Linked DNA regions of Caenorhabditis elegans. The protein of the gene in region 1 interacts with the protein of each later gene in a pairwise test. Each region holds a gene or a part of one and is shown on either strand. Other genes may lie near its edges.

The links.
Region 2: the proteins of pos-1 (region 1) and mex-3 interact in a two-hybrid assay, tested with the Caenorhabditis elegans proteins (2 studies listed by BioGRID).

The regions. Positions count from the first base shown.
Region 1 is NC_003283.11:8,412,376-8,415,811, reverse strand, and holds pos-1 (RNA-binding protein pos-1), read right to left. Parts: upstream 1,728-3,436; 5' UTR 1,719-1,727; coding exon 1,320-1,718; intron 1,268-1,319; coding exon 872-1,267; 3' UTR 558-871; downstream 1-557. Other genes in the region: vha-18 (putative V-type proton ATPase subunit H 1), read left to right, coding at 2,337-2,434, 2,479-2,614, 2,668-2,882, 2,927-3,413. UniProt on the Caenorhabditis elegans protein: RNA-binding protein that coordinates cell fate specification and differentiation during early embryogenesis.
Region 2 is NC_003279.8:125,480-133,288, reverse strand, and holds the start of mex-3 (K Homology domain-containing protein), read right to left. Parts: upstream 6,005-7,809; 5' UTR 5,993-6,004; coding exon 5,953-5,992; intron 5,905-5,952; coding exon 5,853-5,904; intron 4,593-5,852; coding exon 4,393-4,592; intron 4,345-4,392; coding exon 4,165-4,344; intron 4,123-4,164; coding exon of another isoform or gene 4,114-4,122; coding exon 3,956-4,113; intron 1,187-3,955; coding exon 736-1,186; intron 678-735; coding exon 596-677; intron 1-595.

The DNA.
Region 1 (3,436 bases):
AGTCTACTGGTATTGTGAAACTAGTTGATTTTCCTCACACACAACACAAACACGTCAGTCAGTTACAGTACTCATCTCAATTTTTGTGAGATGGAAAGTATAAAGTAATAAACCTTAAACGAAATATTCAGTTGTTTTCAAATATAAAAATGAGCGCTTTAAATATTGGAAACATTAATTTTTATTGTTTTTTCACAAGATTTTTGCACGCCTTCTTAAAGGCACACGAATTTATTCAAATGGGTCTCGGTGCGCAAAAGTTTATGGAAGTCTTTTTTGAATACTTGAGGCTGCCTCTTCGTTTTTTTTCTTGCATTTCTCAATTAGTTTATTTCATTTTAAGAAAATTTTCACAGAAAAATGAAGGGTATATTCATTGAGAAATGAGAGCCTCAAAAATAAAAACTACCATAAACTTTTCTTGCGCCGAGACCCATCTGAATAAATCCGTGCGTCTTTAAAAAAGCTCGAGAATCTTGAGAAATGATGGTACCGTAAGCTGGTTCTATGAACTTTTTAATACCGCAGAGGCACCGTAAAACTTGAAACAATTGTATGCTGATTACGAGAAATTTCATTTTATGAGTCCACATAACGAGGGCTATGCAATTGAGAACGAAACATTGGTAAAATTCAAGATAACAATAATATACAGACTAGATACAAATGTGGGAATGTGGGGGTGAGTTTTGAAAGCCTGTGAATACAACATTTTGGGGTCGGACTCGAGAAGAAAAAGAACGACAAAAATGGGGAAAATTATTGATGATGTCCTTGGGACTGCACCAGGTTATTGGACTTGATTATATAATCCATAAGTAAAAAATAGAAAGTACATGTTAGTCAAGATCAGAAATTTCGACGAGAGAAACTAGTGATGATGGGAGGAGAGCTGCTGAATCCGCTGGAATTGGCTTTCGAAATATTGTGCCAATTGAGCCGTAGAATTGTATCCAGATACGTCCAAACGGGTGGCACGAGCAAACGCACGAACGAGATCTGATTGACGGATTGGTAGACTCTGATTGAGATCCATGCTTCGATCTGTCGACCCCTGAGGCACGAAGAGTGAATGATTGTGTGCGGCAGCATTCCTTGCTGGTGATTTGGATGAAGTATTAGCGTGAGCTCCACTTGCTAGCTTCGCGGCATTCCCATCGACAATTTTGTGGATGAACTGGCATCTGGTTCCGTATTTGCAGTTTCCAGTCATCGAGAACTTGTCGCAAAGAACCGTCTTGTACTTGGGATGATTTCTCCCACGAGGCTGAAAATTCCAGTCATAAAATAAGAAATTTGTAGGATCAACGATTACTTACGTTCATTGGAAGCCGAAGCTCATGGACGCCGTGAGCAAATCTGCACTGATCACCGTATGAGCATGCCTGACTGCGTTTGTAAGCATCACACAGAGCCGTCTTGAATGCATCTTCCTTTCTCCTTTGACGCATCATTTCTTCACGAAGGTCATCGGGAACTGTGCAAGGATCACGATTGGCCAACGATTGTTCAGAAGTTGGCTGTGAAGCCGAATTCTGCGTCTCCTTATCTTGTTTCATGAACGGTTGGAAGTCTTGAGAAAATACATTCTCTTGATCATATGCTTCGGGGGATGCTGACTGATGTGAAAGCGATCGAGTAAAATCGCTGTGGGAGTCAAGGATTTCCTTTTTGAACACCATGATTGCTTCACCGCTCAGGAAATCGTTGTCAGCCATTTTGAATCTAGAAAAATAAATTTACAAACTGTGATGATGATGGAAAAAGAAGAGAATATAAATCAAGAAAACTTGGGAGCACCGGCAGAAAAGAAAATAAAAAGGAAAAAAATCCTTGAAATGGAACATCTGAATGAAATGAACAAAGAGTGAGCGAAAAAATTTACTTATCAAAAATTCGCGGAAACTAAAAAGTAAAAATTAAAAAATACCGCTCGAAATCATGATCAAATTTTGAGAAATTTTGAAAAAAAAAACTTGAATTTTCGCAATAGAGCGTGTTCGCATCGCCGTGTTGGATTTCATGGTAGCACAGAAACTAGATGGCTTGGTTTATGATACTCAGTCTGAAAACCTATATTGGCTGCTATCTCGAAAACTAACCCCAAATTTGAATTTGCGATGCATATGAAAAATGGCCGCAAGAAAATTCTCTATCTTTTCTATTGAAAATTTTTTTGATTGAAAATTTCCTAACCGGTCAAATTTGGGTTTGTTCGGTAGAGCGCATTTGCACTCATCTAGCTGCTGTACCACCGTGATTTTCCATTTCTACATTTTCCACGTTCTGTGTTTGTCCTCATTTTAAAAGTTAATTTTCTTTGATTCAGTTTCAAAATGGTATTTGGGGAGAATCAGGATCTCATTCGCACTCATTTTCAAAAAGAAGCCGACAAAGTTCGAGCAATGAAAACCAATTGGGGACTTTTCACGAGGTATATTTACTATCTATCTTCCATATTACGTAGTAATTTTTCAGAACAAGAATGATTGCTCAAAGTGATTACGACTTTATCGTGACTTATCAACAAGCAGAAAACGAGGCAGAACGGAGCACAGTACTCTCGGTTTTCAAGGAAAAGGCTGTGTACGCTTTTGTTCATCTGATGTCTCAGGTGAAATCATATTTCATAAGCCTATTTCGAAATTATTAGTTTCTTTTTTTCAGATTTCGAAAGATGATTACGTCAGGTACACTCTAACGCTGATCGATGATATGCTCCGCGAAGACGTCACAAGAACAATTATTTTTGAAGACGTTGCAGTTCTTCTGAAAAGATCTCCCTTTTCTTTTTTCATGGGTCTTCTCCATCGTCAAGATCAATACATTGTACATATTACATTCTCGATTCTCACAAAAATGGCTGTTTTTGGAAATATAAAGTTGGATACGCTTGAGATACATTAATTAATTCTAACTATTTCAGATTATCTGGAGACGAACTTGACTATTGCATGGGATCTTTGAAAGAGGCGATGAATAGAGGAACAAACAACGACTACATTGTTACAGCAGTTAGATGCATGCAAACTTTATTCAGATTCGATCCATATCGAGTTTCATTTGTCAACATCAATGGCTACGACTCACTGACTCATGCTCTATATTCGACTCGAAAATGCGGGTTTCAAATTCAGTACCAAATAATTTTCTGCATGTGGCTTCTCACTTTCAACGGACATGCTGCAGAAGTGGCTTTGTCTGGGAATCTTATTCAAACGATATCTGGAATTCTGGGCAATTGTCAAAAGGAAAAAGTAATCAGAATTGTAGTATCCACACTGCGGAACCTTATCACTTCAAATCAGGATGTTTACATGAAAAAGCAAGCTGCTCTTCAAATGATTCAAAATCGTATTCCGACTAAACTGGATCATCTGGAGAATCGAAAATTTACTGATGTGGACCTTGTGGTAATTTATTAGTGAAAGACTTC
Region 2 (7,809 bases), on another chromosome or scaffold:
GTATGATAAATTGTAAATTTCAGTAATTTTCCTTTAAATTTCAAGTTTTTCTCATAAAATAAATAAATTTAACTTTACCTCTTAAAATTGGAATTTCACCTTTTTCTCTCAAAAACGAGGTTTTGAAAAAATCAATTTTTTGCATGTGAAAAAAAACATATTTTTTTGAAGTTCAAAAGAAAATTACAATTTTTCTTTTATTGTTCAAAAAAAATTTTCTTTTTATAGATTTCTGACGGACAAAATCCAATTTTATTTAAAAATTTTTGAATTTCAAATGAAAATTATAATTTTTATAGAGAAAACTACGATTTTACTCTTTTTTATTTTCAAAAACGGATAGGTTCAAGATTTCGGAAAAATAATTTTTTAATGTGAAATTTTTTAAACATTCTGAGTTTTAGAAACGTTATTTTTTATTTAAAAAATTGATAAGAAGCCGTCAGGTTCCGAGTGGAAAACACGAAAACTTGTTTTTTTTTTAAATTTTTTAGCGGAAAATCAAATTTTCTTTCAAAAATTTAGAACTTTGAAGGAAAATTGCAATTTTTAGTTTTATTTCAAAAATTTATAAAATTCCTTCAAAAATATATACCCATTGGTTGGGGATTCCTCGCGTTTCTCCAATCCCATCGACGACCATGCGGACAGGGCATCGTACTTGCGGCTGAGAATTTCTGAAAAATCCTTATTTGTCATTTAAAATTCTTATTAAAATTCGCAAAAAAAGCTTACCGTTCTCCATAATATCATTAAGCGAGTTGTTGGTTCCCCAGTAGTCGTAGGTTGGCAGATCTTGTTTCGCCGATTGTCCTCCTCCCAACGATGGACGAGAAGACAGTCCAGTACCGGAAAGAGATTCCGGAGTCAACGAACTACGCATCGATGGGAAACTGCGGAGCAACGCGTCCAATCCCAACGAGCTCTCCATTCCGAATGGCGACGACGACATCTCCTTCTGATTGAACGGATTACTGTTGCCGAATGCTCTTCGATAGAACATCGATTGTTGCTGAGCCTCCTGCATTTGTTGTTGAGCCTGTTGCTGCTTCTGCACCATCAACGAGACACCGGCCAACTGTCCGGCAAAGTCATTGTCGGTTTCTGGAAGATTTCCGGTTCGCTGGAAGATGTGCGTCTCGATCTCCTTGCGGGCAGCCTCGACGTTATGTGGGAGGCCGGTCACCTGGAATAGAAATAGTTATATTTTTGTAGTTCTCGCAAAAAACTTATTTTATTACGGAAACACAAAATTCCAGAAATGTGTATTGCGCAACATATTTGACGCACTAAATATCTAGTAGCGAAAACTACAGTAATTCTTTCACTGATTACTGTAGCTCTGGATTTACGCGCTCGATTTTCGAATGAATTTCTTTTCGTTTCTTCATATTATTTTCTCATTTTCTTCTTAAAAATATTTTTCCATCGATAAATTTTTTAAATTCATTTCTTAGAGCACGTAACTCGAATTTCTTTTTGTTTCTTCATATTATTTTCTCATTTTCTGCTTAAAATTATTTTTCCATCGATAAATTATTTAAATTCATTTCGTAGAGCACGTAACTCAAAACAAGCGCTACAGTAGTCAATTTTATGAATTACTGTAGTTTTTGCTACAAGAGATTATGCGCGTCAAATATGTTGTGCAGTACACATTTTCAGAATTTTTTGTTTTCATTATAGGAAATATGCTTCCGAATTTTTGTGAATTTAAATAGTTTATGTTTTTTTTTTAATTTTTCAATAAATGTTATTTCCAATATTTTTCCCCAATTTTGTACGTTTTTCTCGGACTCCTTCGCGGAACTGTGTCATTGAGGCATAGATCACAATCTCTGATTATCGAGATGGATATCAAAACGACACGCGACCTCTGTCACTGTCTTGTGAGAACTTTTTCGGTGAGAAAATTAGAAGTTTTTGAACCAAAAATTGATTTTATAAGTATGGAAAATGCTCAATTTATCTGAAAATAAAACCTTTGAAAATTCAACAAAGATCTCAAGTGCACTATTTGAGGTATTTTTGAAATGTTCAAAACGAAACAATTCTATTACCAAACTAGTCGGACATTTTTCTATATTTCCATACCAATTATTCATTTGAGCCACGAACAAAAACGACAATTGGTCTTTTTAGAACGCATATAATATCCGAGGTGAAGCTTCTGTACCTTTCCCTCATATTCTCCCAAACATCATGTAATTCCTTCCCCGCCTGGCAAATCCATCACCTCCTTGTCTCGTCCAGGGTACCGGAGGCATTTGTGTCAAACGGACAACTAAATTGGGAGGAATAACGATGAGCGCACCGCACCGGGGCAAGATGTCATGTACTAGTGGGCCCGCACTGTCAACACATTCACAGTTCGTCCGGCGACCCAGAGTAGTGGGGGATGATAATTACCATTGTGAGGAAGGAGGAAAAAGGCCATGCGGATACGGTAATTTATGTCGCCACACACACACACACACACGCATCTATAGACACATACGGTCAAAACCGTCAATTACATAACCCTAATATGATCTGATTACTGTTCAAAAGTTCGGAAGCCTTCCTATAGAAACAACAACGACCTTTGTTCGTCATTTTGAAGTACCCCTGGTGCTGCCACAAAATGTTGCTCTCCCTGAGCCAACGGTGCAATAAAACCAAGCATATGTGCAATTTGGCGCCCGCCCCGGTCATTTAATTAATTGAGTCTCTTTGTCATCGCGATCCCCCCCCTTTTCTTCACCCTACTACCCTGTTAGATGGAATGAAAGAGTTGGTGCGTGTGTATGTGGACTCCCCATCGCGTGACTCTTGGCTCCAAAAACCCGGGCGGCCCCATCCATCGGTAATTCGACTAATCTACTGTGTGCTGGATGTTTCTCAAGGCGTCATTGAGCATCAAACTGAGATATCTCATCAACAATGATATTTTGCTGCCAAGAAGAAGAAGACGACATGCAACATTAATCGGTCCCGCGGGGGGAATTCTACCAAATTAAAAGATTCTAATCATCATCTCTCAGTGAAGACCCTAAACGGCTCCCGAGGAATTTTTAGCATTTCGGATGGAAGGAAACCGTTTAAAATTCACACCAAGAGGTCACAAGCCCTTCCGCTGCTCGTTTCGGCGCCCATGGTTGCTCTTTATTCTCTTTAGAATATCAATTCCGCACAAGTTTGATTGTTTTTGTTTGTTTGCCACAGCAGTGGCAGCCAATTCACAACTGTACGACCTCGAAAATCGCTCGAAACTCGGTGTCAGGAAGAAAACAAGAGACGGCCGAAAAGAATTGGGTATATCACACCAGACACTTACAAACACACATGTGTTTTCTGTCTCTGTCTAGGCATTAGGCTCCCCTTCTTGCAGTGACGAGGAAAAACAAATAATCGGAATGAAAGATTGACAATGGTAATGGGGACCTTAAAAATAGAAATTTGTAATGAACAACTTCTATGTAAAACTCGAGAGAAGTGTGTCGCAGAAATCAAATCCTGATGAGGTTTTCTAGAATCACGGTTATCGCTGAGACTTTCAGAATGATATATTTACAAACTTTGCTACAAAACAGCCGATTTTCTTATGAATTCTCCCCATTTTACAATTTTTCTAGATTACTTATATGTAAAAATCGAGGAAAATTGGAGTTGAAATCGGTTTTTATACAGAAATATTTCAGAAACCCCGCCGATTTTTAAATTTTGTTAATTTTCAGCAAAGCAACAAAAATTGGACCAATATTATGAAATAATAGCATGGTCTAATTATCTAACTTTTCTTAGTCATAAACTTGAATTTTTCAGTCAAAAGTAGATTTTCAGCACGATATATGCCATGGAAAAGCCGATTTTCAGTATTTTCTAAGCCGAAACTAGAAACTTCTCTGTTTTTGTTAAAAAGCATGAAATTGCTGAGAATTTTGCTCCAAAACTCTATGCTCTCCAACAAAATTACCTCAAAAACGGGCTCCCTTTCTCGGCTCGGCGTAATGATGTACGTGTGGGTGTCCTGTTGAATTCGCTTGATAGTCGCTCCTTTCGGTCCGACGACGAGTCCGACAACTCTTAACGGAACTCTGACATAGCTCGTGATCTGTCCAGGTGCATGGGCTCCTGGAACAACTGAACAAGGCGCTCAGGAACCGGCTGCCTACGGTCACCTACCTTGTGTATGTCTTCTCGACGCACGGATCTGTGTGAAGTGCTCGGCGGCGCAGTCGATCTCTCGTTTCGCCTCGTTCACGTCCTCCAGGCGTCCGGTGACCACGAAAATTGGATCTTCTCCGCGAACCGGTGTCTTGATGTAGGTGTTGGTCTTGGCGCGCAGTGCCTTAATTTTGCAGCCTGAAAATTTGTGGAAACTGTAGATTTGACTAAAAAGGCAATTTTTACCTTGACGACCAACAATCTCGGCGACATGCTCCGACGTCGGAACTTCCACGGACTCTGTGACATTTTGCACGCCTATCGACGTTCTGTAGTTGAGAAACTGCGCAATATCCTCCGGATCGCTGACTGGAGAGCACGAGGCAGTGTCCTCCTCGTAATACCAAGCCCCTGGCAATTTATAGGCGATTTGTTCTTCCTTCATTCTGAAAAATGGTTATGTTTGGGCGAAAATCGATTCAAAAATCGAAAAATAGAGGTTTTTCGGAATTTTTAAGGATATTTTCGATGAAAACCGCAGGTACCCATGTAGGAAGGGCAAATGGAGAAAAAGCGACAAAACGAGGCGCATATGATGAGAAAGACAGACGGGCAGCGGTACGCGCGCACAAATGGCAAAGCAGTACACGGACAAAGAGTGGGGCGGGTGGGTGACGACAGGCAACACCAACTGGTGTGTGTGTGTGAACGCGACAAAAATCCGAAAAATCCCGCCAAAAGAACCACCAAAAATTGAAAATTTTCGGCGCCGAAAAAATGAAAGAAAAAACAGAGAGAGTACGGTATCACTCATTTAACGTGTGTGAGATAGTGTGTAATTTTGGGCCGCCGTGTTCACGTACAATACGCGGAGGCGGGGCTTGGATATCGTAGTATTAAGTGGGAAATTAAATACAGTTTTTTTTTGTGTTTTTTCCAAGAAAAATGAAAAATCGAAAAAATTGTGTTTTCAGATATGAAAAATTGAAAATTTTTGTATATTTCAAAAAAATCGATTTTTCGAATGAATTACTTGAAATTTTGGTCATTTTTTAAGCAGTATAAACGAACAAATTTCGATTATTTTTGCAAAAAAAAACCGAAACTTTTTCCACAGCACCTTTGAAATTGACTCTGTTGAAAAAGGAAAAAAAATAGCGCATTTTTTCAAGTAATCTAGAAAAGAGGTTGCGATCAAGAACAAGGGTAATAAAAAGGAGGCAGGCGTGTAACAAAAAATTCGATCCTTTGAATTTTTGAGGAGGAAATCTTTTTTTAAAAAAGGAGAAAAAAATTTGGATTTTTAACTTTCTCACGAAAATTGAAGGGTGAGGCAAAAACTTAATTGCGGTTCGAGGTTGTTTCCAAGAAGACTTTTCCCCTCTTTTCCCTCTTTTCTCTCCCTATTCTCTTCTGTATGTTAAATATCCGACCCACTTAAAAAAAAGGAAGGCGAAATTTCGAGATATTCTGTTTGAATGGCAACACGTTTGCCGATTTTATACCAGTCATCCTTGAACATTCCGTCTATTCTCGCAAGGCCATTTGAGGCTTTTTTAGAAGCGGATTTTTAGAGATTTGGAGGATTTTCAGTGGGAACATTAATCAAAAAGTTCAAAAATCATCCGAAAATCACGAATTTTGAAAAGAAAATTGGATTTTTTTTCGTGTTTCTTAGACTGTTAGCTTATTTGCCGAAAACTCACGGTTTCCAAAATTCGGCGTCGTTCCACGTGTTATGCCCGTTTGAGAAGCCTTCTGGAAAAATTAAAAATTTCAAAAAAAAACTTCAAAAAAATTGCTCACCATTTCTCATAGAAAAAGGTCTAACGCTCACGACTGGCATTTTACCTGAAAATCTGCGATGTTTTGGGGTTAATAATTATGTGGTTGAAAAAAAAATTGATAAGCGGAGAAATTTGTCACCAAAAAAATATGGAATTAAAAAATTGCAATGGAAATCAGAGAGACAAAAATATACTACGGGTACACAAAATTATAAGAATGCGTATTGCGCAACATATTTGACGCACAAAATATCTCGTAGCGAAAAAACAGTAATTCTTTAAATGACTACTGTAGCGCTTGTGTCGATTTACGGGCTCGATTTACGAAATGAATTTTTTTGAATTGTCGTGTTTTCTTTTAATATTTTATCTGTTAATAAATAATTTAATTAAATCGGCATCAGTGCTACAAAAGTCATTTAAAGAGTTACTATAGTTTTCGCTACTAGATATTTTGCACGTCAAATATGTTGTGCAATACGCGTTTTGGGAAATTTGTATTCCTGTAATACAAAAACGACAAAAACGATCCGTCATAATCAGCGACCAAAGAAAAAAAGAAAAGACAGTGGGCTCCCAAAAGGGGGCGGGGACAGTTAGAGGTTCAGAGAAACCGATGGTGGGGGGCGGGTCTCTTTTGTTGTTGTCGTGCAACATTTTTCGTCCAGGGGAAGAAGAGTGAATAAGGAAGAAGAAATGCAAATTAAGGTGGTAGAAGGATGAGGATACGGTACTTTGGGACAGAAGAAACGAGAAAACAATGGAATTTAAAATGAGATTTTAGAAATGTGTAGATGTAAATGACATATTGAAACTGGTCATCTCGTTTTTTTTTGGCAACACTAGTTTCACTTTTAGGCCAATATTCAAGGGGCTACAGTACCCTTAAAGGTACATACTACTTCTCCCATAAAAAGCGGCGGAACGTCGAAAACAGGAGAGCGGTTGTTTTTTTGGAAATCCGATCTTCCGTATATTCCACGCCGAATCTGTTGGTGTCAACATTACAACAAAAACAATTTGTTTGCGTTTTATACGTTTTTTTTTTCGGTTTTTTTAGAGGCCCACCACGATTTACACAAAATTATGCACTCATAGTGCATCGACGAAAAGCAGTTTTTGAAGGGTTGTCGGTTTAAAATGTAATTTCCAAATAAGCAAGGTGCAGAGTGTCCAATAACTAGAAAATCTCGAAACTGTTTTTTTCCCGAAAAATCGCTAAATTTCATTTTAAAATTATCATGTTGAATCGATGAGAGCAGAATGTCGTGGAATTTCAAAATTTGGTTACAGAATGCGCCGTTATAAAGACAGATATTGGTCCTCTCATGGAAAAATCAAAAAAAAGTAATTTGAAAAAAATACCATCATGGTGCATCGAGAACAACTGAAATGAGAGTATTCGGCGGAAATTCCAAAGTTTCCAAAGAAGATTAAAGGTGCATGTAGGTCTCAAAAAACTTTTCCGAGAAGCAATTTTGAAATTTACTTCGAAAACGTTATAGTGCGTCGAGAATGAAACTATTTGGGTCTCGGAGTGATTTTTTTTCTGAAAATCGATAAAAACGTCATGGTGCATCGCAAAAATCGCTACCATTCTTACTCTAAAGTTATCGCCAAACAGCATTATGGTGCATCGAGAAGTTCGAAAATTCTGAAGACGTTAGAGTGAAGGGACACAAAATGAAAGACATTTGCATGTCCCACAATACGGTTAAAAAAATAAATATTAAAATTCAGCTTGAAATTTTCCACCATTAATTTTTCGAAAAGGCTCAAAATGTAACCCAAAATTATCATGGTGCATCGACAAGAACGGAACATCATGGTAAGCAGGCGCGGTTTCAGTGCCTACCTGAACCCTGCCTGCCTCCGC